2 linked regions of the Astyanax mexicanus genome follow. The protein of the gene in region 1 interacts with the protein of each later gene in a pairwise test. Links are inferred from orthologs where the notes say so. Each region holds a gene or a part of one and is shown on either strand. Other genes may lie near its edges.

What was found.
Region 2: the proteins of yipf2 (region 1) and rnf185 interact in binary tests that used the Homo sapiens proteins (3 or more experiments, as listed by UniProt). The two-hybrid records come from large-scale screens. The link is inferred for Astyanax mexicanus from reciprocal best matches to the Homo sapiens genes YIPF2 and RNF185.

What each region holds. Positions count from the first base shown.
Region 1 is NC_064426.1:9,767,363-9,784,726, forward strand, and holds the start of yipf2 (protein YIPF2), read right to left. Parts: upstream 6,824-17,364; 5' UTR 6,571-6,823; intron 5,575-6,570; 5' UTR 5,557-5,574; coding exon 5,526-5,556; intron 5,436-5,525; coding exon 5,293-5,435; intron 4,282-5,292; coding exon 4,201-4,281; intron 3,467-4,200; coding exon 3,379-3,466; intron 2,981-3,378; coding exon 2,864-2,980; intron 1,963-2,863; coding exon 1,796-1,962; intron 1,029-1,795; coding exon 846-1,028; intron 278-845; coding exon 176-277; 3' UTR 1-175. Other genes in the region: timm29 (mitochondrial import inner membrane translocase subunit Tim29), read left to right, coding at 8,177-8,273, 9,504-10,150.
Region 2 is NC_064408.1:8,586,219-8,603,103, reverse strand, and holds rnf185 (E3 ubiquitin-protein ligase RNF185), read left to right. Parts: upstream 1-6,462; 5' UTR 6,463-6,612; intron 6,613-8,305; 5' UTR 8,306-8,356; coding exon 8,357-8,532; intron 8,533-8,654; coding exon 8,655-8,673; intron 8,674-8,804; coding exon 8,805-8,917; intron 8,918-9,588; coding exon 9,589-9,643; intron 9,644-10,321; coding exon 10,322-10,439; intron 10,440-11,640; coding exon 11,641-11,738; 3' UTR 11,739-12,075; downstream 12,076-16,885. UniProt on the Homo sapiens protein: E3 ubiquitin-protein ligase that regulates selective mitochondrial autophagy by mediating 'Lys-63'-linked polyubiquitination of BNIP1.

The sequences.
Region 1 (17,364 bases):
AAGCTGTATTGTTTCATCTGCATATTCACCCAAAGACGGGAAACTCAAGTTTTTATAATAGATGAGTAACACCCAAGCACTAATCAAAAAAAGGTGCTAATCTGACAATTCGGTCATTATGATTTCTGTACATTGTTCTTCTAATCATTCACTCCACATGCCCATATGCTGCAGGTCAGTGAGCTTTACTCGTTAATGCTGTGTGATTTAGTGGAGCAGGAGTCACTGTGGAGTCGGGCAGTACTGCTATCGGTTCTGCTGTTTGGAAGAAATACATCTAAAAAAGAGGAGAAAAAAAATTGTTACAAAATGAAGACTAAGTCTATGTTTACACAGCAGTACATCAAGTGCATATTTTTTCATCACATCTAACTTTTGTAGTAGTTCATGCATCATAACCATGTGTGCAAAAGAACAATGCATATATATATATATATATATATATATATATATATATATATATATATATATATATATATATATATATATATATATATATATATATATATTTTTTTTTTTTTTTTTTTTTTTTTTTTTTTTTGACACTCCAGATGGGCCATCCTGTAAACACATTTGACCCTTTTTTCTTTTTTTATACATATTTTAACATGGAGCAGTTGTGAGACATTTATGAGGTTTACTGCCACTAAAAACCTCACTCATTGCTGTTGTTTATTTCTTTTGCCCATTTTTTTCCTCCTTAACATATAAGTGGCCTCACAGTTTCCGTTTAAACTGAAGAGGCTAAATTTGGCTAATTAGAATTTGTGAGGAAACAGCAAAAATAACCGATTTGATACAGCTACGGGCATTTATTTGATTTGTGTAAAGTTGTAGTGAGTTACCTTGCAACCGATGGCCAGCAGTGCATGGAGCAACACTATGGCTGCCATGGAGACAAAAGCTGTCGTCTTGGTGTCATCCCGCACAACCGGCCAGAAGGTGATGACCAACACTGATCCCGAGATCACCATGGCAACCAGGATCAAGAGCCACTGAAGCCATCCAAAAGGAATGATCCATAATATCTTTAAAACAGAAGCAGAGAGAAAGTCAGTGTTCTGTTCACTGTTGATACATATTAATATGTAATGTTGGTACAGTTTATGAAGGGCTTACTGTTTAAGCTTTCTAAGCTGAGTATCCACATTATTAGTATACATAGCATGTACATTATTTACACCATATATGCTATGTACAGTATGATTTGAGTTGTTTTTCTGCAGCAGAATGTACAACATAAATCTTAATTAGAATCTGGTTTTTATTTTGGGGAAGTGAAAGTTAAACATACATGGTTACAAATATACATAGATCCATTTTGATCATTATTTTAGAGGTGATCTGAAATAATGGCTAATCTGCCATTTTGGGCTTTATAATAAAAGTCATATGGCATATTATTAAAACATACAAAAATGTCAATGACCATTCTATATTTTATTTAATTTGGACTATTTTACCTTGATCTTACTTTGATTAGGTTAAATGTGCTTAATTTAGATTAATTAAGCAGAGAGCATTTGTTGTATTAATTTATTTATCACCTGAATATATGTTATTGTGAACCAGATTCTATTTGTTTTTCTATTGAAAGTTGTATAATGTAAAAGAAATTCCAATATTGCCATAACAATTACGCAAACTTTCAACTACAACTACATCACACTCTGTCAAGCCATATTCAAACAGGCTAAAATTGAATTTTATTTTATTCAATTCAAACCTTACTTACCTCAATCATATACCTGATTGATTTAATGATTATATCTATATTTACTTATATCATACTTACTGAGGTAGGAATATAAATGAACAGAGAGTATCCGTAGACACACACTGTCTCCAGAAATGAATAGGCACTGGTCTGTCTCTCAGCGTTCTGTCGCCAGGTCATGAAGCCCCACACGCCCAGTGGTACCAGCCATGCATAGAGGAACACAGCCACAGCCGCAACAGTCACTGTCAGAAAACAAAATTAATCATTTTAAACTATGTAAACTCATAGGGTTGCCTACAAGGTGATGACAGAGCTGTTCCCTCCTACTTGCACCTGCTCCTAAAGTCTTTATGTTTCCTCCCGCCTGCTGCACTCCTCCAGTGAATGTTTCCTAGCTTTGCCAAACATTCACACAAAGCAATCCAGACTATTTTTATACACAGTTCCCCAATGGTGGAACAAACTACCTTCGACTTCCAGATCAGGAGCATCCCTCACTAACTTAAAAAAACTCCTGAATGGGGCGATGAGTGGTCCAGCGGTCTGAAACACTGCCACTATGAGCGGGAGGTCAAGCTGCCAGTGCTCAGAGGGAGCAAAATTGGCCCTGCTCCCTCGGGGTGGGTAGATAGCGCTCTCTCCCCACATCACTCCTAGGGTAATGTCTGCAGATGTATCAGAACCGAGTCTCTGCGCTGTCCTTCAAGCGCGCTGGCTGCTCAGCAATGCTGCATCAGCAGCAGCTCGAAAAGAAGAGGTGGCTAACTTCACATGTATCAGAGGAAGCATGTGTTGGTCTTCACCCTCCTGGTGTGTTGGGGCATTACTACTGATAGGGTCCTAATGAGTGGGTTGGGTAATTGACTGTGTAAATTGGGGAGAAAATGAGAAAAATTAGGAAAAAAAAAAAACTCCTGAAGACAGAGCTCTTCAAAGGGCACTTACTCTCCTAACACCTCTAACAACTCACTATTTCTAATCTCATTCCATATTCCACATCTTTTCTTTTTTTGAGATCAATTAAAAATTACAGGTTTGTTCACATAGACTTTAAAAGTATAATCTGTTCTCAGGTATTCTGAAAGAAGCATGGGATCTAAATAATTCTGCTTATTATTCCTTTGCATCTGAATTCTTGCTTACCTCTGTGGAAGTGGGGCCTGTAGTGGTAACGAGGGTTACCCATTTCACTCAGAAATGTAGAGAGGTTTCCACTGATGGCCACGGAAAACACTAGTGTTGCGCATATCCAAAAAGGCCCTGGAAATCAAGAAAATAATGACATTCCTGTGCAATTGATGCTTGTTTTAAAATATTATTTACAATATCTGCTAAAATGTGTTTTGACTGAACACTTTATAAGGAACTGTGCAACTTTACAATAATGCAAAAACCTTAACATCATGCAGACATTGATCAGCAGCTTCAGAATCAGAATGGGTGAAAATGTGATATGTGATTTTTTAGTGTGGCACAATTATTGATGCCCGATTAACTGAGATAATCTGCAGTGGGATTCCAATAATCAGATCTGAATCCAACAGAACACCTTTAGTGTGGCAGAATGGGTGACCTGCAGAATGTTTGTAAGAAAGAAGATTCTAAAAGTATAATGTTTTTAATAAAGTGTTCAGTGAGTGTACATTATTGTTCCTTACCATATAAATCTGGGTTGTTTCTAATGTGATGTTTGACGAAATTCCGGCCTGGCAAAGGCATAACTGAGGCTTTAATTCTATCCAACACCTAAAATCAAACAAGAGCATGACATGATTGACTGATCTTTTTCAGATACATCAATAAAGACAAAATTGGCACCACGCAGGAACACACTTAGCCATACAGTACCAATAGCTAATTTACTGTCTGTCATTTAAATCCATGTTATTGATCAATATAATGAAACTTATATTGATTGTACTTCTGTAGTGATTATTTATCCATCATTGAAAGCATTTACAATAGGTCACAAACATAAATGTTATATAAATTCAAATTAAGTTAAATTTAATTAAATTTTATTTATTGTGTGGTTTACATGATCAAATCTAGCATATTTCAACTTCTGGTATAAATTTAAGGTGATAGCAAGTCATTCTGAAGTAAAATAAAATGCTAATTCTTTTTATTTATTAAATAAATAAAAAAATTTAAGGGGCATTTGTATTCATTTCCCTGTACTGTGGCATTAAATGTGGATGTAATTCCTGCTAATTTTTGTCTGTTTGCACAGATGCCACTGGTGTACAGTGGGTGATAAAGTCTTCTATAAAGTATTCTTAATAAACACAGGACAATGTGGATCGAGGACTGTTTAAAAATCCGTCTGGCTCCCACGCTCAGGTCAGGCGTTAGGTGTTCCCAAGCTGTTCTTCTGAGGTAACACAACATACTGCTATCCTATGACTTTTGGCATGTCAGTGTATACAGAAGGCTTGTATTGATAATACACATTAATATACTCCTAAAGAACTCCATACCTGCATTGTGTCAACATTGAAGAAAGACTGATAGTATTCAAACGTCCAGAAGCCCCCACTTTGTTTTTCACCTCCAAGCAACTGCAAGTAAAGAACAAAACAGGTGTTCAGACACAACATTAGTTCCTGTCAGAACAACTATTAAGAAGTATTAAATGTAGTAATTCTTGATTTCTGCAAAGACAAAGGAGAATAGGGCACATACAGAAAAGAGAAAAGATTATTATTATTCTGTAGTTAAATGAATTTGAGTTCAGCAGCCCTCTAAGCAAACACATATATACAAATTTTCACACTAGTTAATACTGGTCACAAGGTTCTATGTAGCAGTTACAGAATTTACATTTGCCTTATTAATGTGCCCTGTACCTGGCTGTAATGCAGCACCTTTAGTAAATAAGTAAACCAGCTCACAGTGAGATAAAGGCAGGTAAAGGGGGAACTAGAGCAGAAAACAGGTTTTATCTTGCCGAAGTTAAATAATAGTTCAGAACAAGGAAGTGACAAACTGTAAACCCCAAACACTGTTGTTCCTCCTTAAAAAGAAAATCCAGTTGAGCCAAAACCGAGATATGCATTGAACAAATTTCTGAACTGTTTCTTAACCTTAGAAAAGGGCTCGCCCAAAGGGCAGAGAGTTTAGAAATTAGGCTTAAAGGGTTAATTTTATCCCCACTTGCCAGGCTACAAATTTCTCAGCTTTGTAACCCCACAATGTGCCGAAAAGACACTGAAAGCACACAGAGATGATTGCAACATTTTCTGGTATGCCTGTTTGTGTTACAGTGCTAAAACAAAGCTATTCTACATGGCTCACTTGAGATGTCTCGGCGATGTAAACCAGCCAATTAGTGAAGGGTTCATCTTTTTTTAAGGGGCACCATAAGCCAAGGCTAAATTGTAAATTGATGAAAGATCCAATTTGAGCATTTTAGCCCTATATTACATTGCACCTTTTGGCATCCTTGGGCAAGACACTTGCAAGGCTTGCCTACTTGTGGAAAATATGTAATAAAAAAAATAATAATAAAAAAAAGAGAGAGTGTCTGCACCATGCTTTCCTGTAAATATGCATTAAGTTGATAAAAGCACCTCTGAGCTCTCCTGCTGATTCTCCTCATCATCTGACAGGTCCAGCTTAACATCCCCTGCAGGTGCAGTAGTGCTGGAGTTGGTGATACTGAGCGTGGAGGCACCGGGGTCAGCGGCCAGTAAATCTGTGGCCTCCTCGAATTCTGCATTGGTTTACAAAAGGTAAAAGAGTGAGGAAGGAGGAGACATGCAAGAACATCTGAACAGTTTACTTACTGAACAGAAGTACCAACCTTGAAATCTCAAATCGTCAGGACTCGCCATGGTAGATCACAGAAATGACTGAAGAAAAAAGAAACATATCACAAGAACACCAACAAGGTCACTATAAATGTTTCGGCATAAAAATCTAAATAATTTTTTAAATGTCAAACTATAAACACATTTATTAGTAAGACCGGTAGAACTACTGCATACAACTTTACTGGAGGCTCACAGACTGCTCAAAACATTTAACTTCTGAACAAATAAAAATGGCAATTATATTGTGAACTACACACAAATAAATATGTGCTGTTAAGTGGTCATCCAAGGCATATTATTGCATAATATATTGTTTTAGTATAATCATAACAGTGTGCACATGCACAATCGTCACATTGTATGTCACATGCAGTGTCATGTAAAGCAAATTAAACCATACAGGAGATGCTAGAACTTCCTTGGTACAAAAAATAAATAACTTAAACATAAAAAATAAAGTAATAAACGCCAATACATTTATTTTTTTTCCAATATTTGATACAGAGAGAACACTGTTAGTATCATAAGATGTTAAATCACTGATTTTAGGAAAAATCGATGTTTAATATCACAACATACAGTACATATCAAAACAATAACATACTGCAGTGTTATATTTTTTCTTATCATACTAAATGTGGTAGTTGTTCAAAATGAATGTGTTCAGCTACCAAATATCAGATGTTAGTTAATTACAGTACATGTTTAGCTTATCTTCTAATTTCTTTATCTAAATATTCTGTTCCAACTTAAAACAGTGTAACTGCTAAAGCACTTAAGGTGGAAAGGGTATATTAGTAGCTCACAGTTGTAACACTAACTAGCTGTTTAATTTGATAAGAAAAGCTACTGCCAAGCTCTGCGTGTTTAAGAACAGCTGAATCAACACACTGCAGACCCCAGTCAGGACCCGCAGCTGCTGCAGGTTTAAGGTGGAACTGACAGAAGGTGAGGAACAGGGGAAGGTAATGAGCTCGTGTCGGGGTGATGAAGCGGTTAGTCGGGTTAGTTGTGAGGCGGTTAGCCTCCTCTTACCAGCGGTCAGTCAGTGCTGCATCAGCTCTCCCACCATTAACGCTGCCTCTGCTCTTCACTAACGGTCACCAGGCTCCTCAGCAGTGACAGCGCTGCTGCCGGGACTCAGACAGCGCTACAGCCGCCGCCTCTGAACCGCCACGACCGGGTTAAAGTCGGGTACAAAACAACTCAGTTAATTCAGTGAAATCTCACGCAGCTGTGGGTTTATCCCGCCGTGCTCCACGTCACCCTCCCAGCGACAGAGTTCCTGCGTGTGTCAAAATAAGGTCACGTGACCGGAGCCAAGCCGGAACCTTAAAAAACAAATAATTAAATACCAAACGCGATTTTATTTTAAATCTAAGCATTTTAACTAGTTATTTAGCAGATTTAATAGTTAAATATTTTTTATAATATTTTTTTTTATATTGACTAAAATATAATAAATCTAATTATTGTACTTTTTTTTTTTACTAAAATAATCTTAAGTCGAATTATTAATAAAGCATGAAAACCACGGAAACGGCACATTGTGTATCTGTGGCAGATTACGACGGGTTTTAAGTTTTTAAAATGTTTTGTTCTGTGTTCAGAATCAGAAATCTGTAAGTTAACTGTTTTTGTAGCAGAGAGCTTATACAGAGGAGAATACCCACTTATTAATCTCTTCTGGATTTGACAGTCCACCAGAGGACGCTCGCGAGTAAATCGTATACATATACGCATATATATTAACACATAACTATATAAAATGTTTCAAGCTTTTAAACTTAATTTATAAGCCTTTTAAATGTGCTTTGACTAAATGTGCTTTGTAAATCCAGTGTTAGCACACCAATCAGTTAGCACACAGTAACAGTAATGCTAGCAAAAAGGAGATACAATCCTTTACACCTATACTTTAAAATCCATATCCCCTGATCGCAAAATTAAAACCTAATTTTTAAAAAAGGAAGAAAAAAACTGACAGAGAAAAATCAGAGTGGAACGTAAAAACCGTTGATATGGTCCCCCTATCGGACCACCAACTCCAAACCACGCCAGAGCTGGTTTAGAGCAAGCCTATCTACTTCCGCTCTCCTCCGTTATCAGAAAATAAGGGATAACCGCTAGAGGGAGCCTGCGAGTGAGCCATAAATAAAGGGAGGGGGGTTGAATGGTTAAAAACTCGGTAAAAACGATCATTAACTACGTGTCCAGGATATTGCTTAAATTTCGTAATTTCGTAATTTGAACAACAGATTTGGTAGCATCACTGCTACAGAAGTGCTGAAGTAACAGCCAGCACATGTTTTAAATGTTTCCAAGTGGACTTTAAAAGTTTGTATTTGGCATTAACATTTGATATGTTGAGGAACTAATCACATTTTTCGGTTTAAAAATTTAGCAAACATTTACAATCTGAACCTATTCATTTAGGACTCGGGAGCGCCCTCTGGTGGTCTGACATAAAGAGGTTTTAAAGTGGTCTACAGGTTCTTTGACCGAGCCTGCGCCATTTCGGCTCAGTGGTTTCGCCAGTGGGCGTGTTGTGTGGGGGGGCCGTGTGGAAACAGAGCCGGCGGTATCGGTTCCGGTTGAGTTGAGAGCACTGAGCCGCTGATCAGCGTGTGTTCGGACTGTCATGGCTGCCTCGTGTGTTTTCAGGAGGCTCTGCTCCACCGCAGCGGAGGCTCAGGGCAAGGGCAGCCGGTGGGAGAGGCTGAAGAGCGGCCGCGTGGGTGAGCGCTTTACCTACCGAGACATACAGATTAAATATACTCTTTATTATTAACCCGATCAGCAGCTGCTGATCTACTGCAGAACTGGAGAGGAGAAGCAGTCTACTGCCCGACAGTAGAATCAGTTAATTAATATATATAATAATAACATAATATAATTCAGTAGAAACTCTGATCCTTAATTTAATTTTATATTAATTATGCCCAAATGGTGAGAATAAACACATGTTTAACACTAACTGTAGGTCAAAACTGAAATATATGTTCTCCTCTTAACACAAACGCTCTTGCATCTCCATTACCAAGGTCTTTTAGGTTATTAGACACATGAAAGACACACTTCTTTCATTCTTTTTTTTACATTGTAAATTTAATATCGAAGATATATGGATAGATTAATAGATATTAACAAATTATTTTACTTGTAAATTTTAAAAGAAGTGGCACCTTACAGCTTATAGCACATTCAAAACCAGGAGAGAGGATCAGTAAGATGTATCAAAAATGCCATCTAATAAAATCAGGCAAAAAGATCCACTTAGTGTCACATCCTGCTCTTACTGAAGAACAATTGCAGAATATGGTATTCTATATCGGGTTTAATTCACTTTACTATCATTCCTGTTTAGTTTAATTCCACTGGGTCGAAAAAAGTCCAAACAATAGAAGACATTGTGTTAGTAGAAAAATACAACAGTAATGTAATGGAATGTAAAAATGAGATGTATGATTTTCAGCTATGGCTGACAGAAAGAAAATAACACATTTAATAATTAAGTTCACACTGAATTCTCAAACCCTCCACATCCACAGAGGGAGCTATTCACACTGCAGACTGTGCTTACATGACCTAACTAGACTAGAGGCAGAGTAGAGCTCCACTAGTGGTAGAGCACACACCAAACTACTACAAAATAAAATAAAAGTAACATTTTTAAAAACATTTAAAGAGCTAATTTATGTTCTTAATTTATTGTGTTCCACATTCATTTTGGGATACGGTGTCATCGTATGTTGCATTTATGTTCATATTGTGCACTGCTGCAGAAACTGCAGATATCTAGTAGAGTTTAGTAAAGGTTTTGCCCTCTACTCTACACTCTACTTTGGTAGGAGTATTAAAAGTAGACATGTTAATTAACCATTAAAAATCAATATTTTTGGTTTTCATATGTTTTGCTATTATAAAATCCTATTCCAGTAAAACCAGTTAAAATGTCCTTTTTGCAGGTGTGTGGTGCCGTAGTCTTTTGGGTGACTACAAGGAGGCCTGCCGGGAGGTGGTTGTTGGAGCACGGGAGCGTCCCTTTAAAGCCTCAGCTTACGCGGTCCTGCTGGGGGGGGCGTATTTCTGTTATCGAACAAATCCAGATGACACGTCCTTCCAGACTGATCTGCTAGAAACCTCCAATAAACTGGCCCTTCTGTCACCATGGATACGAAGCGGGATGTCAGATGGTCACGTGCAGAACCTGGTGAGGCTGCGTAATGAAGGTCGACTGCGCTACCTTAGTCTGGGCGTGGCCTCGGTGACCTACGTGGTGAGCTACGACCCTGAGAGCAGCCTGTACGAGGCTCAGTGCTCGGCTCTGTCTGTGCCCTGGGCAGAGCTGCCCGGGCGCATGCTGGACGTGGGCTTCGCTGGACGCTGGTGGGTACTGCACCAGAAGATGAAGGACTATGACATTAACGAGGAAGAGTTTAAGCATCTCTCTCCGGCTTTGGTGGCCACAGCTCCCCCTTCAGTGCAGGAGACTGAGAGGAATGAGAGACTGCACAGAGATTCGTTGAAGGCGCTGGTGATGGAGGTAGAGGAGGAAACGGCAGATGGTGCAGTGAGTGTACAGAAAGAGGGGGAGATCGTGGCGAAAGGATGAGAGAAAACTGTGTAAGAACAGATGCACCTAAGCGTTGATGTGCTTCACTAAAGGACGTGTGCTGGCATGGACATATGGACTGGAGGCATGTCACATATGATCAGATAAATCTGTGAGCAGCAGCCCGGAAGGGAAAGCGCATTTCTCTGGACATGGACTTCAGTTTATATAGTGTTGTTGGAATTCTGGGACAAAAAATGTCATGTATTGCTATACTGTATGTTAATACTTTAATCTTAAAACTAAAGGTGCTACAAAATTGTTATTCAAGGCTCAGCAAAATATTTTTTTTTTTTTTGACAAAACCTTGGTGAGGTGGTGTGTTGGTAGAGACGTGGGCCTGTTCCTTGCTACTAATTTGTGCATCTCCAGTGAGATTAACCATTTTTTGAAAATATATGAATGTAAAATATAAAGTAAAATGATTTGGTAAAGAACTTTAACCCTGATTTAACACTGGCAGGCCACAGAGCAGGCCACAACGTCATTTCTTATAGGAAGGTTTATGATTTTTTTTGTGTGTGTTTAAGTGTTTTTACCTGAGGGTCCCCAGATTCTGCTCTGTGAACATTTTGTTTCTCCAATATTTCATTCATATTCTGAGCAGAGCGGTTTTGAACATGACGGAGAGGCTCAGCACAGCTGATTCTTCTTTGCCCGTTTATATGATGCATTTTTGCACAAATACAGGGACAATTTGCAGAAAATTAAAGTGTTAATGAAAGTAGCAGATGAGCTTGCTACATTAGCCAGCATGCTAACCAGTCATGTTGATACAGGCCCTGATACACAGCCACACTTGACAGCACAAGCAGTCTTAAACACACTCACAAGAGACAAATTTGAGTGATGCGAGTGACCATAACTTATTCAAACCTAAATCAGCTTCTTTACACTCACATCTCTTGCAGAAATGTACATTAAAATCTTTATAGAACTAAAATGAACTAAATGTTTCTTCTATGGCATCACTTGAACCCTTTTGTAGCACCTTTTATTTTTTAGGAGTGCTGGTGAAATATGAAATGTTTGGCATAGTCTGTGAAGATGAACTGAATCAATAAACATTATTGTTATTTTGTAGTCACTGTCACTTTTGATTATGTAAGGCTGCATTCCATTTGAACTCCCATGTCAGAATTTTCTAGTTCCAAGACGGACTTCCAATTATCAAAATGATAAAAGCTCCACCAACCCTGAGTTAGGAATCCAAGATGGCTGCCCTGTACATCAGTAGAAGTAAAAGCAGTAATATATACTGCTTGTTGTCACTTCTATCTATCTGTCTCATTAAATAAGTTCTATACACAGTACTGCTCAAGTTTTATCTGTAGATCAAATTCCATGTTTAAATCTGCAAAATACTGCATAATGTATTAGGATACAGTGCTAACAACAACCACCTGGGGCTCTATGCTACCTTACACCCTGTCAACAGTCTGTTTTGGAGCCTTGCTTACTAATTTGCATGGTGGTCTGGAAGTGGGGTGTGTTTAGGTAATTTTCTGGCGTATTTCTATTTTGGCATCGAAAAACACAGGTGCTCCACTGACTGAAATAAATCTAGACAACTGTCAACCATCAGAGTCTATTCCCATAGGTGTGCCATGTAAACACACATTGACGCACTACAAAGCGTAAACCTGACTTTTAACTCTACAATGAACAGATTTAAGTAAATAAGCTGCTGGCTTACCTTCACAGTGTGAACTCACAGTGTGAAAACACAGTTCAGTATTCTCTGCTGAGACGCACAAAGCGCCGTGCTATAAAGATTCAAACGCGCCAAAGTCAGAGCTCATCTGCATCTTAAAGGAAATGACAAGTGATACACTGATTGGTTTATTTCACATTGCGCCCAAAACACACCCATAATTAAGAGAATGAGTACATGCATTTTGAGCTGCACAAGGTGTCTTTTTTTCGTCTTCACAATACCGAAGAGACACGGCGCCCTAAATCAAGCTGCATGATGCAGAATTGACCGGTGCGCTATAGATCGCTAAAATAGGCCCCCTGGACTCTACTGTTGAAGGTGTCTTGTGTTATCTGTCAAAACAATGTTAGCTTGTAAGCTGTAAAGTTGGGTGCATACATGAGTTTTAGGTACCTAAAACACAACTGCTGGTTCACCTGATATTATGGAGATTATCTGACCCAACTGTCTAGCCTCACTTTTTGTTGCTTGTCAAATTGTTTCAGATTCTTACAGGTTTTTACTTCTTTAGAGTTTTAACCTTAAAAACTGACTGTTCACAGTTTTATGGTATTTTTCATTTTTTCTAAAGTGCTAACAGAATAATGATAATAAATAGAATTCTAAATTGTATTTAAATTGACTATCATGTTTTTTAATTACAGCTTGTTATTTTGCTTGTTGGCAGTGTTCACAGCCTTTACATAAGCAAAAGTGCCACTGTGTAAATGTACTCTGCATTGAAAATTCTCAGTAAAATGAAAGTGTTAGAGAGCTAAAAGCATTATTTGAAACTTGAAAATTTTAGAAAAACAAATTAGAGAAACAATAACGTCTTGAATGAATGTGTCCGTCAGATTAAATTTCTTACCCAGTTCTAAATAATGCAGGTTTCAAATCTGCATCATCATGCTAACGGCCAATTCATCAAACTGGTAACTTGTTTATGTTTGTGTTTAATTGAGTAATCTCTCCCACCCCATTAATTTTAGCACCACGGAGAGTTTTCTTTGCAGCCGATTCTGGGAAACAAAATTAGAGGAGTAAACCTGCTGTAAACACAAAATAAATGGAAGTTGTCCTGCTGCTCAGGCAGGCGTAGGTGTGGTCTTGTCCTCTGGAGGAAAAAGGCTATTTTCTTTACAGCCCTAAACAACGATTGCCGTTACTTTATTCTGTTTGCCAAAGACGTGAGTTAATCATGCCTTTAATCAGATTCCCTCTGAATGACCTCCTGTTTCATTTTCGGGAGAAATCCTCTCACTGCAAATTAATCTCTCTTCAGTCCACTATCGGCCCGGCGCGCTCACACACCCCCGCGCTGAGACGGCTGGTATTGATCCCGCTGCTCTACAGGCCGCACTGCCTCTCGATTCTGATCAGTATCCGATCTGCCCAGAGCCATCGTTCATCCTGATCCTGCAGTAAAGAATGTGCAGACACTGCGGGAGTGCTGTGTTAGTGGACCCCGTGGCCAGTTCATTCTTACATGACCTCTTTCTCACAATCTCTATAAAGACTTTTCAACTTAGAATTAGATTTTAATGTAGACCTAAGTAGAAATGAGCACTATTCGAATTGGCCCTTTTTTTATATTTTTAATTGTGCATCCTTTAAAGCCAGATCTGGCTGTAACACTCCTTATAGCATCAGTGTGAATGGGTGGAGCTAGGCTGTTATATGCTGAGTAGGTGGATGTTTGTAAAGGCTCAGGAGTGAGGTTAGAAGCAGTTATTAAAATAATGAAAAAATATGAATTGTTATTATTTGAATTAGTGCTGTCAACAACAACAAAAAATTATGCTGATTAACGACTCATAAGTAAAGACCAGATTATGTACAGACATCATAAACATATTGTATAAAACAGCAGAACCTATCTAGCCCAGAGACATAATACTGATATTAAAAAAATCAGTGATTAATTAATCTTGGAAACAGTTAGCATTGGAATCAGCACGCTCCAACCCTTACTGCTGATTTGGCTGTTAGCTAGCATTGAGCCACAAACTTCATTCCTGTGTTGTAAGTGTAAGTGCAAGTCCCATAATCCACATATCTTGACAAAACACAGAAGCTACTAATGTAATCAGCATAGTGACATCCATCTGTTATCAAAAAATTGCAATTAATTCAGCTCAAGAGTTGACATCGTCAGTTAGTCAATAGCTATTATGGCTTATCCAACATTTTGGTCTTCATAATAAAAGTCAGATCATATTAATCAGTTTAATTTTTAAATAAATAATAATATAATAAATAATACATGTGCATCAAACTATAAAAAAGACATTATTTACAGTGTCTGCTACTAACTGATGTTCATTTGTTCTTTTAAGTCTATGCCAGTCATTCATTTATTCTTTTGCTCCTTAGCTAAAATCAATTTGAATTGCACAGTTTTAAATACCTTCTTACGCGAAAAAGTGATGAATTTTGGTTAATTAATCACAGAGCATGTCGATACATTAAGATACATTTTTTAAAATTACTTTAGAACACTAATTTGTATCATGACAGAGTGGGGTTAGCAGAAACTGAGGAGCATAGTGTGTAGAGGTCAACAACTTTCTGCAGTCAATCACCACAGACCTCCAAACTTGTGGCCTCCAGATTAGCTGAAGAACAGTGTTTAGAGCTTCATGGAATGGGTTTCCATGGAGAGCAGCTCCAGCCATGCCGCACATCACCAAACTCCAGGCAGGAAGGCAGATGCTTTTGGCAATAAAGTGTATTTACATATTCACTTTAAATTTTAAATCTTTAATAGGTTGGAAAGCTCAAGTAAGTGGAGAAACTTTTACACTGTAATTATAATATGAACATAAAAATCAATTTAAGCTATAAAACATAAGGAAATGTTTCATTGAATGTTATTGGTATTTATTTGACTCAGTTCTGGTGTTTTAAAATTAATGCAGTCAAAACTCCACCCTTCAGATGGGGTTTTATACCTTTATTGATGAATGCGTTTGAACAAGACAGACACGGTCTCTGGGGTTTATCCCCTCCAGAGGGCGCTCTGTCTGGGTGCATTGAGACCAGGAGGGTCTTTCCTTATCTCCCTGTAACCTTACCCCACTTGGGAATGGTAGGACACTGGCTGTAATGGGGTCACAGGTCAGCCGGTGATGTCATTAATGCACACATTCAAAGCCGTGCTTCTGAACTATCGTATGTCGCTCAATGGGAACGTGGCTCCTCCTCGCTTCAGTCAAAGAATGAATTAGAGCCAAATTATTACAGCCTTATCCAATTACTGCTCTTCTGTTTTATGGGTGCAGTGTAGTCACTCGGCTGTACACAGGAATGGCCGCTCAGTCCGATCACGCAGCTCGTTATCCAATCACTAAAGATTTTTTCCTGCAGTCACAGGAAGTTGCTGGCATATCTGATGCATCGTCCATCCTCGTAATGTACTGGGGCACTCGGCCTGCCCATCAGAGGGTCCACAGGGACCACACAGCTAGGAAAGGGACAGTTAAGCTATATGAAGTCTAGTAATAATGATACTGCTTCAGTTTGTTCAGACATTATATGAATTCTGATAACCAAGTACGACTGACATCTATTTTCCTTTGTTACGCTTCACGTTTTAACATGGCTGTGAGGCATTTGATAGCATTAGGCCACAAGTCATTATCATTATCTAAGATAAGCTACTTATCGGATGTTGGATATTCACTTCTGAATCACAAACACCACTCCAACTCAACCTAAAGGTATTGGATGGAGCTCCTTATGTAAGTGCGGAGTTTTACACCCCTCCAGCTGGGAGTGGTGACTCAGTGAGACTCTTACCCAGAGGTGGGGACCTAAATCACATGACTTGGACTCAGAGAGTGTAGATTTGGTCTGCAACAGCCTTCATACAGCAATGCTCACTTAACTTTATGAACAAAACTTACAATATTCACATGAAAGCTGATGGTTGGATACATCAATAAAATATCACATACAGTACCAGTACCAGTCAACAGATTGGACACACCTTATCATTCATTCGTCTTTCTTAATTTTTTTTTAACTACATTTATTTTCTACATTGTGGATTTATATTAAAAACATCAACAAAGGACACATATGGAATTACATAGTAAACAAATTATTGTTCAGCACCTCCAGGTACTCCTTCAAGACGCTAGGAAAACTATTTCAGGTGACCCTCCCTCATGAAGAAAATGAGATTAAAATACCAAGTGTGTGCAGATCTGTCCTCAAAGATAAATATGGAACTTTGAAGTATATAATTTAAAGAATTTAAAGTGTAAAACATGGTTTGTTTGACATATTTTGTCTACAAAACAATTCCACATGTGCTTTTGTATAGCTTTAATGTCTTCAATATGAAATGTTTCATTTTATATAATCATTAAAAGAAATAAACCACATTGAATGAGAAGCTTTTTGTCCAAACTTTTGACTGGTACTGTATGACAATGACAACTGTCAAGTTTTGAGATTTGTATATTAGGCAGCAAGTAAACGGTCAGATCTTAAAGATATGTTAGAAGTAGGAAATATGGGCAGGTGTAAGAATCTGAGGCACAAAACCAAAACGGTGATAACTGCACAAGAGCATCTTTAAAACATCAGTCAGGTTTAAGTCTGATTTAAGTTTCTGGTATGCAGTGGTCAGCACCTACCAAAAGTGGTGCAATGAGGTGAACCTGTGAACCAGTGAGAGGGTCATGAAGGTCCAGAGCTCAGTGATGCGATTAATGGAGGTCCCACCTATTAACTTAAAGGAACTTTAATGTTAAAAGAACACAGGACACTTTAATAGCCTTGTGGAGTTATTAACCTTATACATCAGAACTGTTTTGGTGTTACAGAGAGGAAATAAGTTTAACTTTACTTAATAAAATTATTTTTATACACTGAATGGTTACTGGAATTTACTAAGTAACATATAGTATACATTAAAGTTTGGTTACTTATATATTGTAGCTGTCATGCAAAAAAAAGTTCAATTTAATTTTTGTTCTTTCACTTTTTGCAAAAATTTAATTTAATAGTTGTCTTTTATATAGTGTCATGATAAATGGACTAATAAAAATGCTCAATAAGTCATTCCACATTAAGATGCTATTTTTGTTAAGTTTTTAAACACAAAATGCCATCTGCTGCTTCTGCCTTCCTTTCTGCTGTTTTTTTTAAATGATCTTTGTCCTCCATTCATCCTTCCATCTTCTCCTGGATCAACACAAAGCCCTGCCCCCAGTGCTGTCTATCGACTATCGGCCGCCGCTGTCAAACACGTCTGAGTGGACAGAGTCAGATGGATGTGGGACTGCAGTGTGTGTGTTGTGTGTGCGCATGTGACAGAGGTGGAGGCTAATGAATGGTCAGCGCAGTCCAGACAGTGCAGGGTGGAGGGGTCAGGGGTCATGGAGGATAAAGTTGGGTGGGGGGCGCGTTTGTCTGACCTGCAGCACAAAGTGCATCTCATCAATATGTAACAAAGAGAAATAAGATAAAGATCAAATCACATGATAATGTCTGGAAAAGGTATACA
Region 2 (16,885 bases), on another chromosome or scaffold:
AGTTTTAGGGCTTTCTTAGGGTGAAAAGGTGAATTTAGGGTGAAAAGGTGAAAGGGGAGAATGCTATATTTTAATTCTTAAATTCCATTTAATTGTTTACCCATGAAGTGACCAAGTATAAAAAGGTCTTATTGACTTTTTTATATATATATATATATATATACGTATATATATATATATATATATATATATATATATATATATACGTATATATATATATATATATATACGTATATATATATATATATATATATATACGTATATATATATATATACATATATATACGTATATATATATATATATATATATATATATATATATATATATATATATATATACGTATATATATATATATATACGTATATATATATATATATACGTATATATATATATATATATATATACGTATATATATATATATATATATATACGTATATATATATATATATATACGTATATATATATATATATACGTATATATATATATATATATATATATATATACGTATATATATATATACATACTTATACACAAACCTATCAATGAGCTCTATGGGCGTGGTTTAAAACCTTCTTGTTGGTGTAAGTTTACAGGTTCTTATTTACTAGTATAGAGAATGATCTATATGTAAAAGCTATATTCTTGTCCTTTAGGATGAGCCCAAGCTCACTGTGGACTTACTTAAAGTTATATGTAAGGTGAGGGGATGGAAAGCTGCTGGATAAATGCTTGCTTAAGGTTACTTTCTGCTGGGTAGTACATCTGTATTTATGAATGCTAAATAACAGGTTGCAACTGTACGAATAACCTGTAATTCCAAGCAGGAAAACATCTTTGAATATATAATTGCTACACTACGCTACTCTAATTTTGCATCCACTGTTACATAACAGGCTTATGATGCAATGTCTGACCAGTTGTTACAGATCTGGCCTCCCTCTTGTGGAAGCTTCTGAAAGGGCCATTTAAAACCCATGAGAAAGTTAAGAGGTCAGAGGCCATTCTGAAGTAGAAAGAAATGAACACATTATCAGATGAGTTCCCAGTTTTGTCCTTAAAAAATCTGAAAAGTTTAAAAGTTTAAAAGACTGAAAGTTCCAATTTTGCATAAGATGATTTATGGCATAAATGGATATGTGGACGCAAAGCATTCCTTTTAATCAAGCTGATCACTAATAGTTTTTATATATATATATATTTTTTGTATATATTCTTCTAGACTTATCATTTGCCTACATTCTGTTTAATAATTATTCCAAATTTTTATGTATGATTTTCCCCGTTCTAATTTGCTTAAGTTTTAGTGGTCTGTTGTTTGTCTACTGATCAGATATTTTATTTTTTAAGTATTAGGTTTAACCAATTTGTTTTAATTGTATGTATTTTGTTTATATCATTTATATATGTTTTTTTTTACTTTGTTCTGTATAGCACTTTATAGTTGATGTTTAAAATGTGTTTTTATGTATTATTTCTAAACTTTTTAATGCTTTGTATGCTTTATACACCTGTAACTGGGCATGGTGCTAATAGGTTCATGTTTATATACATATATTTAGCTGTTAGTGTCTTCCACTGAATCAGTATCGACTTTGTCTCCGTTGATAGAAACTCAACTGTGGTCTATTTGTCTACTGTGTTCATCGCTGGAAATCACAGTATGTAATGTTCTCCGAACCAGTAGAATAAGGGTATGGACAAGTATTTCCAGTTTCTATTTAACATCTAGTTTATCTAATTGATGACCCAGTGCTCTTACCACTGATCCAGCACTGAATCATAGCAGACACTGTTTAATACAATGTTTAACAGAAAAACAATGACCCTACTGAAATTAAAAGTTTGGGTTTATGTAACAAATAGTCAAAAAGTTTGGACACACAGTTTTACTCTATGTTTTGCTGTTGTACATTGTAAATGTAGGAAAACCCAGACTATAAAGCAACGCATAAGGAATGTAGAAACTTAAAAGTGTTAAACAAACCAAAAAATACTCTGTGAAGCATTTAGGTGCTCTCATCTGGGGAGCTGTATACCTGTGGTTTCTGAGGCTGGTGACTCTGATGAACTTATCCTGTGCAAAAAAGGTAACTCTTGCGCTTCCTTTCCTGGGGCAGTGCTGATGAGAGCCAGTTTCATCATAAACTTTTTTTATGGTCTTTTTGACTGCACTTGAGGACACTTTCAAAGTTTTTGATATGTTTCAGATTGACTGACCTTCATTTCTTAAAGTATTTTTTTCTTCACTTAGTTGAGAAGTTCTTGCTTCTCATAATCTGGATTAGAATTACTCAAATATATCTATTCACTGTATACCTGTAACTCTACCTCTTCACTACTTTACAGCTGATGCTCTCAAACACTTTATTAAGAGACAAGAAATTCAAGAAGAAAATCTCTTGACAAGTTCAGCACAGCTGTTAACTGAAAGCTTGAATTCCAGGTGACTCTACCTCATAAAGCTGACTGAGAAAATCCATCCAAGATGTGCAAAACTGTCAACTGAGCAAGAGGTGCTACTTTGAAGAATGTAAAATATAAAACATATTTTGGATTGTTTAACACTTTTTTGTTTATTAAACAATTCCATTTGTTTTGTAGAATTTGTAGAATTAATCTACAATGCAGCACATGTGGTGTCAGATGTGCATGATGTTATCTAGATGGCTATGTTAAGTATTTAGAATACTTCATCGTTGTCTATCTACTGCATAACACCATAAAGGTGGGAATGTGTGGGCAGGTACATAAGGATCAATGGAACAACCTATGATATAGGGTGCGCAGTTACACACAGGGTACACTTACGCTATGGCGTTGGTTCAATACAGAAGAATAAATTGACCTTACAGCTGCCACACAGTCTGTGTTTTTGCCACTCAGTGGGCAAAACTACAGTGACTCCCCCATTTGTAATGTCATGTGCATTGCATCTATTGCTTTAATCCTGTGTGTGGGCACTAGGGGAGCTATATTTAAAAGAGACTAAAGAAGGTAAAAGGAGAACTCTGGTATAAAATGGACTTTTGGTGTAGAAAAACATGATGAAGAGTACTAACCTTTGATGATATATAACACATATGATAAATAATATAGACATACATATACAGGCTCGGCATAGCCTGCTTCTGTTATTTTCGTATGAAGCTGAAGCTAGCGTTATGAGATGTAAACAGTGTTTTTTTAATAAGCTTCTTGTGCACTTTTTAAGTTATTAATGCCTCGTTTTAAATGTCAGGGCTGTCCGGATTCTAGCAAGGAGGTGTGGAGCTACTTTGAGCTGGATAATGGTGGAAAAAACTATTTCTCAGGGCAAATTATGCCCCTTGTCACCCAGTCTGAAGGGTGTTCTGACAAACTTTTAACATTTCTAGATCTCGGACCGCTGATAAAGATAAGTACTTTTTATTATGTTTTAATACACCAAAAGTCCATTTTACACCAGTTCTCATTTAAACCACAGAGTCTACACAGTGTTGGTATAGGAAGTGAGAACCCACTCTTATGCTCTAGGCCTCATCCTAGACCTGACCAAAAGAGCACACTAACGCCAGTGTGGCAAAAACAGTACACCCCCCCTCAACCCTATCATGAGTACCCCACATTACACACCACCCAAACACACACTCTCAGTCACATGACCCACCCCCAGTGCATTTTCTCACATCACAGCTGCTCATCTGTTCTCAATACCAAAACACCATTTCCTCACGCATAACATCACAGAGAGTGCTGATGGGTCCAGCTTAGCGTCAGGACAAGCGTGATGAGTAACGACAGGGGGTCAATCACTCTCACTGTCCCCTCTGTAAAAACAATAAACCCCAACAGACAATCCAGCCCCATGCATTCACTCACCACCTTTACCACCTCGCAAAGTAAAAGCAGCTGATATTCTTATAGCCCTGAAGACGTTTTCTTTTAACAGAGAACTATAATGACTGCAGTTTAAAATATATAAAAATAGCTGTTATGTATTACAATATAGTGTGTTTAATGTATAATAAAGGTGTAATACCACTATTCTTTGTCCTGCCTTAATCTGCTTTCATTTAATAGACAATTATTTGTACATATACAACTAATATTGTAGGCTTGAATACTGTAAAACAGCTAAATTAAAGTACCATAGCTTTACAGTACTAGACTAATATTTTACATTCATATAAAAGCCAGCTAAAACATCCCTTTTTTCATATTGCATTTTTAAAATAGTTTTTCATCTTTTGTATACCTTATCTACTTTTATACTTCAATGCAATTTAAGGTTTTTTTGCAAATGATATTAAGCCTGTAAGTAGAGGTGACAGCAAACCCCAATTTATAGTTAAGTAGTGCTTATTTTACTTCCTTTTAATCATATTTTTTAAAACATTATTTTAATATATTGTTCCTCAGTATGACCCAGCACGATGCAAATTTTACAAACCTGTACAAAACTGTTCAGCCGTTTTAGAAGTAAAAGTATCCTTGTATGAGCAGTACATGTTTATTTATTCAGAAAAACTAAATAAGTATTTAAAACACAGGGTGTATTTCAAAAAATATTGATATCTTTCTAACTAATGAATATATTTTTTCTTTAACCCCTAACCCCCCCCCCCTCCCAAAAATGAAATATAAAGACTTACAAATTTAGTATTTCAGAAAATTATAATATTTTATAAGACCACTTGGTACATTTGGCAGTGTGGGCAGTGTGCCAAGTCCTGCTGGAAAATGAAATCTCCATAAAAGTTGTCAGTAGCAGAGGGAAGCATGAAGTGCTGTAAGATTTTCTGGGAAAACAAAACTACACTGACTTTGGACTTGATAATAAAACACAGTGGATCAACACCAGCAGATGTCATGTCTCCCCAAACCATCAGTAATTGAGCATTAGTAATTTTTGCATTTCATTTGGAAATCAAGGGAGCAGAGTCTGGAGGAAGAGTGGAGAGACACACAGTCCAAACTGCTTGAGGTCTAGTATGAAGTTTCCACAATCAGTGTTGGTTTGAAGAGCCATGTCAAGCGGACAACTATTATGGAGATGTGGATTTCATTTTCCAGCAGGAATTGGCACACTGCCCACACTGCCAAAAGTTCCAACTGGTCTTATATTATATTCTAATTTGAGTTTTTATGTTATTTTTTGATTATCAACAATAAAATAAATAAACGTTTAAAATAGATCACTCTGTGTTTAATGCATCTAATATATGAGTTTTCTCATTTTTAGCTAAATTACTGAAATAAAGTAACTTTTAAAGATATTTTATTTTTTTTAGATGCACTAGTATATATGTGCACCTCTGCTGTTGCTGAATTCAGCATTTCAGACATAATTCGTAATGTTGCGTGTTTACATGTGGGAATAGAAAACGAGCTCCGGCAAATCGTACGCTCACTGCTCCCTACGCTAGAAGGGTAATGCTGCAGACCGGAGCCCCCAGTGGGCGTGGCTTAAGGGCGGAGCATGTGTCAATCATTTTCGACTGCAGCCAATCAGATACTACACTTTCGTTGTCAATCACTTTTTATTAAGCCAATCCTCAGACAGACTTAGCTGTCCATCATTTTTTACTGCAGCCAATCACCTTAACAGATCTGTCAAAAGAAGGCGGAAACTGCATTGCTACCGGTTGAACGTAGCGCGATTTAAGCTTCTGAACAGCGGTGAAGCTGAATGTGTATAAGTATTTTACAAAATACTATATTAACAGTTTAAACAGTTTTTCTGGAACAGTTTTTCTGGAATGGCACTTTCGTGTTTTTTAATCGTGTATATGTATGTGTATATATATATATATATATGTGTGTATATATATATATATATATATATATATATATATATATATATATATATATATATATATATATATATATATATATATATATATATATACACACACACACACACACACATACATATACACGATTAAAAAACACGAAAGTGCCATTCCAGAAAAACGAGTATTTTAATCTTTGATTTAAAAATATCTAAAGTCAGGGCTTTTCTAACGTTTTCATTCAGTTACTTCTGTTTAAGAGCGGCATATAGGCAGGACTAACTACAGTAGCACATACATGTTTTTAAACTGTTAATATAGTATTTTGTAAAATACTTACACACATTCAGCTTCACCGCTGTTCAGAAGCTTAAATCGCGCTACGTTCAACCGGTAGCAATGCAGTTTCCGCCTTCTTTTGACAGATCTGTTAAGGTGATTGGCTGCAGTAAAAAATGATGGACAGCTTGGTCTGTCTGAGGATTGGCTTAATAAAAAGTGATTGACAACGAAAGTGTAGTCGAAAATGATTGACACATGCTCCGCCGTTTAGCCACGCCCACTGGGGCTCCGGTCTGCAGCATTACATAGATGCCCTACGCAGACTTTCTCCAATCGGATTGGTCGTTCTGTTAAAGACGCAACGCCGTACTGCCACTTGATTGGTTATCCTCGCGTGACGTATGCGAGTGCGTTTTCCGGGGTTCCACTTGATGCAATCGTGCTGAAATTGATGCGCCGCGGTTTGGTGCTTTAACCGGAGGACGGAGGGTTAGGTGATCTACAGCAGTTGGTGTGTGCGGCGGAGACAGGGGGATTTATTGGATGAAACGGTTAAGGTAGGTTAATAACATTATTTAGATTGTAAATCAGCTTATTTTAGAGCCAGAAGTAAGTTATAAAGTTAGTAAACTACGGTCGCTAGCTTGGCTAACCCTCTAGCTAACCCTTGCTAATAACAGTGGCGCTGAGGAGTTAAGGCTGTATTATCAGGCGCTGGTCTGTAGTCTGTCACTGCTGGAGGATTATTGGATTTTAGACCTTTATTTGCTTTAAATTGAGCTGTTTTTGAGGTTTATCAATAACATTTTGTTCATTTGCCAGTTATCTAATGATAATAATAGTTTATCTCTTACTCTGAATTCTGTGATTTCTATTTCGACTGGAATCTTTGCTTACTTAAAGGAAATTAAATGTTTTCAGGTACTTTTTCTTTAAATAATTAAAGTTACATTATTTCTTTCAATTGGGTTGAGATAGTTGATAAAAATACACTATTTATTTATAATGTCTTGTAGTTTTATTTTGACATTGTTCTGTGTTATGTCTTATATTCCAATTTTATTCATTTTAATTCTGTTATAAATAAATACATATTATTTCCCTTTCATTTCTAATTTCTTATAACTTTCCTAAACTTGTATTGACTCTTATCTTTATATAGCACTTTAAATTGCATCTGTGAATGAAAGGTGCTATACAAATAAGAAATTTGATAATTTTATTAGAAAGATATTGTGTCTTAAATCTATTCCTTTAGTAACCTTTAACCCTTTCAGACCTGAATTAACGATCTCAAGTAATGGGAAAATAATGTAAGAATGCTGTTTTCGGTCTGTAATGCATAGAAAAGAAGACTCCAATATTCTACTACAAAATATACATAGCAAATAAATCCAAATAATTAAAAGATTTAATAGCTTTTTATTTACACTGCCTCTTTCCAAAGATTTGTTTATTCAGACTTTAATTATATACACATCTTGCCAAACAACATTTTTGATAATGCATCAGTTACTTAATGAAAATCGTAGTTGTGGTGCATGTGTTTTCTGTAAAGGAGCAATGTTGATCTTACAGTATAAACTATTTTTATATCAGCATTGGAAAGATAAGGTTATGTGTGCAGGTTTTTTTTATATAAAAAATATAGTGCTGTAGTTTAAGAAATACATAAATGTCTCTTAATGCTGATAAAATCTTATATATATAGTTTTACAGGATTACCAAGCTTAAATCTTTGCTTTACACTAATAGTAGACACTACAGGAGTGAGAAATGTGGTTTGTTTGGATTAAGACTTGTCCCTTTTTAGTTCGTTTTGCATTAACAGTATTGATAGTTTTATAATAGATTTTGCACAATGTCTAGCCATGTAGTTGTAAGCATTCTAAATTTACATTTTACACACTGTAAACTTTAATCTTTTAATCTGCTGATCCTGTTTTCTTACAAAAGCCAAAATCAGATAAATGTGATCCATGCTTTACAACTTTCTTTGTATTTATTTATTGTAATTATTTATTCATTAGGCATTTGGCTACATGTCTTAGTTATAAGAAATAAACAATGACCGATGTGTATGATGGATTTATCTTTGCTAAAAGTGTTTTTTAAGATGTATATTCAATTTATATGTATTTTTTTATCTTGCATGACCTTAATTGTTATGTGTTGTCTGTGTAAAAGTAATTTGTATCTTAAAATATTTCTAGAGCTACAGAGTTTATTGAGTTATCTTTTTCTTCTCAGGTGTTTTTCAGCCCACCCTTGCAGCTCACAATCGCCCTTTTGAGGAACATCATGGCTAGTGCCTCTCCTCCTCCAGCATCGGGCTCCTCACCCACCGACACTACAGCCACCGGCTCCAGTGGCCAAGCATCAGGAGAAAGCAGCAGCCAGGACAGCACGTTTGAATGTAACATCTGCTTGGACACTTCCAAGGATGCAGTAATAAGCTTGTGTGGACACCTCTTCTGGTAAGAGGCCATTATCTTATTGAATGATATTAATCTCAGTAATAATTATTATTGTCATTTGCTTCTTCATAACTGAATTAATATTGTCTTTGTATGTTTTTTTTTCTGCTGCTGGCTCACAGTTGGCCCTGCTTGCATCAGGTACGTTGTCTTCTTTCCATCTTGAAACCTGATCTGCCATGTTTTGTCTGTGCCCCCGTTCTAATGCATATTAATCTTTTGGAGGCTTTTCACTGTCCCTAATTACCCACATCAATTTCCTCTCTTTACAGTGGTTGGAAACAAGGCCAAATAGACAGGTGTGTCCAGTATGTAAAGCAGGCATCAGCCGAGACAAGGTCATCCCACTGTATGGGCGAGGCAGCACCGGCCAGCAGGACCCGAGGTTAATCATCATTTCATTTCACACAATTGAGACCTTTGGCCTGGTTCACATGAAATTAACCATTAATATATATATATGACATTTTATCTCAATGTAAAACATTAACTGACAGTAGGTCTGTCACAATAGTACATTTTGACAATATACTGTGCTAGAAATAATTGCAATACACAATTTTATGGTCATTTCATGCCACTGATATAATAATAATCAAAAAGCATAATCCATTTTCACATTATTTTTTTAAAGAGCAGTGAGCTTTTAATTATAATTTTTTTGACATTGAAATTGGAATATAAAAAGGTATAAATATCCTCATTGTGTAAAACATAAAAAAACCCACTGTTTTAAGGAAAGTCAATATACAAGCTTATTCATGGTAATGGGACTTCTTGTATAGTAAAAACAATAGGCAATACTCAGGTCAGCCTAAACTATTGATCATATGTTCATATATTGGTCTAGTTACTATGAATCAGTCATTTTGCATAACAATAACATTATGAATAATTATAATGTATTCTGTAATGCACAAAAACAGCCCTCACTTCCAGATTAACAAAAGTTCAAATATGTATTAAATGAGTATAAAAAAGTGAAGCATGTTGTTGGCACGAACCAAATCGCAGTAATTGTTGAAACTCATTATTTTTCTTCCTCTGGGATTTCAGAGAGAGAACTCCTCCCAGACCACAGGGGCAGAGACCGGAGCCTGAGAACCGTGGGGTAAGTAACTGCACCATTTTACTCTAATTAACCTGATATGCTCGCTCTGGGCTAAAACAAAACAAAACAAAAAAACAGGTTTAACATTAAGCACTTAATTATTTCATCATCTAAAGTCAGACTGAGCTGCAGCCGCCATGTTTATTTATTAAACCCTCAGCAATCAGACACGTATGACAGGGTGGAATCACTGATTGGCGAGTTATATGTGGAGTCACACAGATATATATGCAACACCGAATGCCACATTGCACTAGCCATGTGTGATGAAACTATTACGTGACGGTAGGAAGGTACTGTATTGCCAGCATGCAAGTAATTCATTAGTAAACGAATCGCTCCCAAAGGGACTTATTAAGAGGCACCTCCAAAGAGAGAAGTGGAAAAGAGCTTTTTTGCGCCCCTCTCAGGTAATGACAACACCTGGCATTTGAGATTGCATCACGCGCTTTAGCTCCTTTTGTCCTAAACACTTTTATGAACAAGCTGTTGATGAGTTTATGGATTTATGAGTTGGAGTGCTTGTATTTATTATAATACGCTATTAAATTATTAGCTGCCACAGTATTATCAAACATAAAATAGAGGCTAAGGTCTTAAAGATATTCGATTTTTTTAAATAAGTGCATCATTATTAAATCTTCTTCATTAAGCTAAAAGCATTGTTGTGGGTTGCAGGGATTTCAAGGATTTGGCTTTGGAGATGGCGGCTTCCAGATGTCCTTTGGTATTGGAGCGTTTCCTTTTGGCATTTTTGCTACAGCGTTCAACATCAATGATGGAAGGCCACCTGCAGGTATGTGCCCACAAATATATAAAGCACTAAACTCTGAGCAAACCTTGTTCTTTGTTATAGCAAAGATTAATGTGCACGCTGTGAACATTAATATCATGGCAATATTAGGCTTTAGTGATTTCTTTCTGGGGAAGAATGAGTGAGAGCCTACATCTTTAATTAAAAAGCAACAAAAATGTTGCCCTTTCATTATTTTTTTACAAAAGCTTCTCTGAGAAGGTAACACAAATTGTTCATAAGAGTATTTCTAAATTCTCCAAAACGTCTAAGGATGTTCTCAAATATTCTCTTAAGGATATCATATTTTTTAAAGGTATGTTTTATATACTTATTATAGTGATGGCCATTGATAATATGGTCTTTTAAGCTGCATTTCACAGTTTAAAGACCATGAAAAATGAACTTTTCAGTATTTAGAGTCCCTGCAAGTCTCTACAGTGGAGAGCAAATTAAAGGAAAAGCAGAAGTAAAATTAGTAAACAAGGAGTAACCAGAAGTATTTTTGTATGTAGACCGTAAGAGTGCTTTAGGAACAATCTCCACTTAAACATTTTTCCATATAAGATATGAACTCCTTCATGACTTCTATTATTTATGCTGTGTCTGATATGCTCATGCCAGAACATCACACGAGGAATAGAGTCTATAAATGCAGAACTATATAGTGTCCTATATGTTCAATGAATGTAGAATGGCAGAGTCAATACATAAGTTTTAAGTGAAAATCATTTTTTAGCCTAGAAGGGAAAATGTATCTCAGGCATCACGTAACATATTTTAGCTTTAATTAAACTCCCTCTCAGAATGCCTGCGTTTAAAATAATAGTGTAATAGTGTAAAATAAGAATAAGAATTAGAAGTTCAGGGGAACTGTGGAAGTCGAGGTGAACAGGCGGAAGTTGAGAGTAGAGGGGCAGTGGAAGGGGGCACTGGGGGGACCCACCCCCAGTTTTTATCATGGAGACGGTGGGCGCACGCTCCCAAGAGAGGGTGCTTTTCATGGCGGGGGTGTTGAATTCAGCGTGAGTAATGACATAAGTGTGACTTAGGCACGGATTGTTTAAACTCAGTGTGAGTGCAGGCCAGCGGGGGAGTGGGGAGGGTGCAGAACCGTGCTTAGTATGAGTACACTCTTAGAAACTGGGCTTGGTTGATGTATTTATATTAAATTAAACCCGTCTCATCTCTGTTCACTCTCCAGCTGCTCCTGGTACCCCTCAGCACATGGATGAACAGTTCCTGTCCCGCCTCTTCCTGTTTGTGGCGCTGGTCATCATGTTTTGGCTTCTGATTGCATGAAAACGGTTATGAACTCATGACTGGACGCACGGTGACCGGCGCTGGTGTTACAGACAGTGATTATGGAGGTGGTCTGAAGTTTCTGTGGAGGAAATACTTTCACTTTTCTCTCGGCCGTCAGATTCGGCTGATTTTAAATGAAATGTGTTCAGACACGTGGATTCTTTCGTGTGAAGGAGATGAATCGTGTGTCTGTGATTGCATGACTGTGGTCAGTTCAGTACAGAAAACTGTAAAAAATGTGATTTAATGGAATTTTACTGTTAATCTCTCCTCTTGTTGGCTTTTCCTCTCAGATTGTAATTTTAAATAAAACCCAGAGTCTTATTTGTCTTAAGATGCTTTGTTTACGTTATTTCTTTAGTTGTTTGAAGTGGCAAAGGCTTTTAATGACTTTAGCTATGTTCACATGTATAGGGATATATTAAAGAGAATATTATATACAGTGGAAAAAAAAGTTCAGGAATCTCTGTTTTGTAAAAAGAAGAATGGTCCAAAATTCCTTCAACCAGAAGCCAGACTCTCTTTGGAAGATATAGGAAGCGTTTAAAGGCTGTTATTACTGCAAAAGGAGGATCTACTAAATATTTTTGTCATTTTTTGTTGGGGTGTCCAAATTTATGCACCTGTCTAATTTTGAGTACAGAATTATTTCATGCTTTCTAAAAATAAATTTTAAATATCACTGTCTTCAGCTGCTATATGATATATATTTAACTGAAATGACTGATCTGAACAAACAGTGATTTATAAAGGAAAATCATGAACAATATCAGGGGTACCCAAACTACTAATGTACTTTAATTTATAGAGAGTTAGCATCCATCCAGTACTTCTGGGAGGAGTCAGGGAGTTGTGGAGGTGTGATTGAGGTGGGGTGGTGAAGAATATCCAGCATCCTGACCTCACTCTAACTCTCCTGTAATTGGACACAATCAAATCCTCACAGCAATGCTTTAAAATCTAGTAGAAATGTCTTCTCTGGAGAGTAGAGACAGTTACTACAACAAAAGCAGGATATTTCGTTTTTTATATTTTATTATCCTTGATTTCTGAAGAAACTATAAATGAGCATGCGTTTGAAACAGTGGAGTATAAATATGGTAGTTATTGGAAGTTCAGGGGAACTGTGGAAGTCGAGACGTGATCAGCTCTGTTACTTTTTGCTGTAAATTATTTTCGTTTTTTTAACAGAGCGTTTCACACCAGACCCACTCTGAAAAGTTTTTTCTTTTCACATCGTAATTATGTAACTTAAATTTCATATTTAATTTTTTAAGAAGAAATGCACAGTCCTGACCCACTGCTGTAAAGAGGAAAACTGCTGTACAGAGGTTTGATTCCTCGGATGTAATCTGAGAACTCTCTTATAAAATCTTAATGATATTCACTGTGGGATTGAGTTTCAGACTAACACTGCCTCTCAGTCTCTCTCTCTCTCTCTCTCTCTCTCTCTCACACACACACACACACACACACACATTATATCCTTTAGAGTAACTAAGGGAGGACCTAAAGCAAGAAGAAGCAGCTTCACCACCTCTACAGGGCCTGGTCCAAGGAAATGTTTTAAAAATGTTTAAGGGAGTCAAACCATGAGGAAATTAGGTTATTTAATTTCTATGATTCTAGTTTTGTTTAGCATTCAATTTTAACACAATGCATACGACTAAACTTGAATAAAAAGAACAAAAATAAAATGTAATATAATTTAAAAAGTGAAAAAGGTAAAACCGGAGATACAATGTTTTTGCAAACACTAACGCTGTGTCAGTATGTGTGTAAATATAAGGTGTCCTCTATTAGTCTAAAATGATACGCTGCTAATTTAATGAATGAAATTATATAGATTATATAGAAATTGAATAAGAAAGTCTTAACAGGTTTTTCACAGCAGTGCCGATCTAATAAACGACCAGCAGAGGGCGTCAAAAACATCAGTCCATATGCGTATAGGAATAAATACATAATACTGTAATTTTAATTTGTATATTTAATTTTTTATTTCTAAATTAGTAAAGCTTGTCAGATTGATGAATCGGCATAACCAGTCTGTTTATGATGCTCTGATCTATAAAAAATTACATATATAAGCATTTGTTAGAATTTATGTCATTCTTTAATCTTACAAACCTCATAATTGCAGGATCACAATTAAACAGCGTGTAACTATGTAATTACTATCAGTTAAATTTGATTAATGTTTGAAGCTAAACTCGAAAATAGAAAACTGGGTCTTCATTTTTTAGTTTTCCCATTTATTAGCTATAGTAAAGAAGAAATGTTTTTCAATTTCCCCAATTTCCTGTTTACTATTTTCGCCTTTTGCAAACAGAATTTCAGGAAATAATGCAACTTTTGTTACAAGATACAAAAATGGGGGAAAAAAGGAAAAAAGAAAACAGAAAACCGAGGAAATAATTTCCCTAAAATTCTTATTCTGAGATGCAGAAATAAAAAATCAAGGAAAAATAGAAAAATTATTGAAAACACAATATGCACAGCTAATAAAGTTTTACACCCTACTTGTGTATTTTTTCATTTAACCTCTAACAAAGGTTATATTCGTTAGAATATACATTAATATGTTTATTTTAATTTAGAGATACAGGAAACTTCACAGTAGTAAGCTCATAAAAATACATCAATAGACTCAAACATTACATTTTATTTTATTTTTTTAACTTCGCATTTTAACAAGGCTAGGATTTATTGTACATAACTAATAAGCTCGTCCTCATATTGAGCACAATTCAGCACCATTTAGATTTTCTGCCAGAATAAAACACGCTCACTGAATCCGCCGCAGTGACGATCTACGCCGCGGCCAGCAGAGGGCGCTTCAAAGACCATGCAGCGTTCAAGTGACCCTAAGCTGAGTGTGTCAAACAGTTGTGGAGAAAACAGGAAAGTGCTTTATTTTGTACAAAATGTTCAGAATTAATTACAAAAATCTTAATTGTTTTGTCACATATTGTACGTTGATATTGATTAAATATTTCATTCAGTTTTTAATAAATAATAATGTGTAAAAATCCATAAAATCCGGTTTTTAGAATTTTAGGACTAAGTACAGGGCGGCAAAACACTACAAATGAGTGACCCGCAGAGAGCGCCAAAAGCACCATGTGCCCTTTAACTTAAAGCTCATTAAAATAAATGAACATTTAAAACATTACTATATATTTTAGGTTAACGTGCAATGTTGGCGAATTAACAAAGCTGAAATTAATTCTACAGAACATACACAACCTGATCAACTAAATTCTGAACGAAATTCAAAAAAGGTTTTGAAGTTTCTGCTCAAATAAAACACGGAATCTTGCGCCCGACCAGCAGAGGGCGCGAGAGAGACCATGCTCCCTTCAGGAGACCAGTGTGTCTAACTGTTGTGGAGAATACATGACGGGGCTTTGTTTTGTAAAAAAAATAAATAAAATGTTGAGAATAATATAATAAGATTGTATTTACTAGTCAAATAATTTATTGTGACTTTTCCTTTTTTGTATTTATTAATAACCAATAATAATGTGTTAAAATCTATAAAGTTCCGTTTTTAAAAATAACATCTAAGCCGCAGGACAATTCATAAGTGTGTCCAGCAGAGGGCGCCAAAGCACTGTCCCAAAATCTCCTGATCGTAGATACACGAATAGAATCAGGTCTTTACCATATATACCATGAAAGTTTTCTTGCCAAGTTGTCAATTTACCAAAACTAAAATTAATTTCACACATCAATGCTTTCAAGCTCTACCTCGCCCTGAATATAAGTCAGCATAATGTTTATTTACGGCTAAAATAAAACTTTTGTGAAGAACACAGAACAGCAGGGAAGATCTTTGCCGCGGCCAGCAAAGGGCACCAGAGAGGCCATGCAGCGTTCAGGAGACCCGCAGCTGAGTGTGTTGAACTGTTGTGGAGAATAGAACACGGTGCTTTGTTTTGTACAAAATGTTGAGGATAAAGTAATAGGATTGCATGTACTGGTCAAATACTTTATTGTGACCTTACCTTTTTTATCAAGTAATAATAATAATGTGTTAAAATCTATAAAGTTCTGTTCTTAAAAAGACCAACTGAGCCGCAGGAAAATTCACAAGAGTGTCCAGCATAGGCTCAGGTCTTTACCACATAATTAAAGTTTTCTCGTCAAGTTGTCCATTTAACTATAATAAATTCTACACATCAATGCTATCAAGCTCTACCTCGACCTGAGCATAAATTAGTATCATTTTAATTTACAGCTATAATAAAACTATTGTAAAGAAACCGAACAGTGGTTTGTTTTGTTGAGTGTAAATGAATAAGATCTTAATTGCCTTCCCGAAGTTTTATTTTAATATTAAGTAAATCTCTTGAACAGTTTATTTTTTTAATAAATAATAAAACATGGGGACGGTGAATCTATATCAGTGTCAATCTTTGCCGCGGCCAGCAGACGGCACTAGAGAGCCCATGCAACGTTCAGGACAACCTAAGCTAAGGGTGTCGAACTGTTGTAAAGAAAACAGTACAGTGCTTTATACGTTTTCCTGTAAACTAATTATTTAGCAAAGCTATAACTGATTTAATACAATGCTAAAGCTCATCACGAACGCAATTCAGCATTTTTTAAACACTTGCTGTTAAAATAAAAGACGAAATAATAAATCTTCAGCAGGGGCGAACTTTGCCGTGGCCAGCAGAGGGCAACAGAGAGGCTAAGCAGCATTCAGGAGCCCCGCAGCTGAGTGTGCCGAACTGTTGTGAAGAAAACAATAAAGATCTTTATATTGTACAAAATATTGAGAATTAATTAATAAGATATTATTTTATAAATGTTAAGCTCGGGTTCACCATGAGCACAATTCAGCATCTTTCACTTTTGCTGGTAAAATAAAAAACGAAATCGTGAATCTAATGCAGTGAAGATATTGATATTAAGATCTAATTTGTTGATATTGAATTAATTACTGACATAATATTTAAGATAAATTAATAAGATCTACATTTTCTACAGATATTTTATTTTGATACTAAGTGAATCTCTCATTCAGTTTTTATTAAATAATAAAACACGGGATAGTGAATCTACAGCAGTTGCGATCTTTGCCGCGACCAGTAGAGAGGTCATGAAGCGTTCAGGAGCCCCCTAGCTGAATGTGT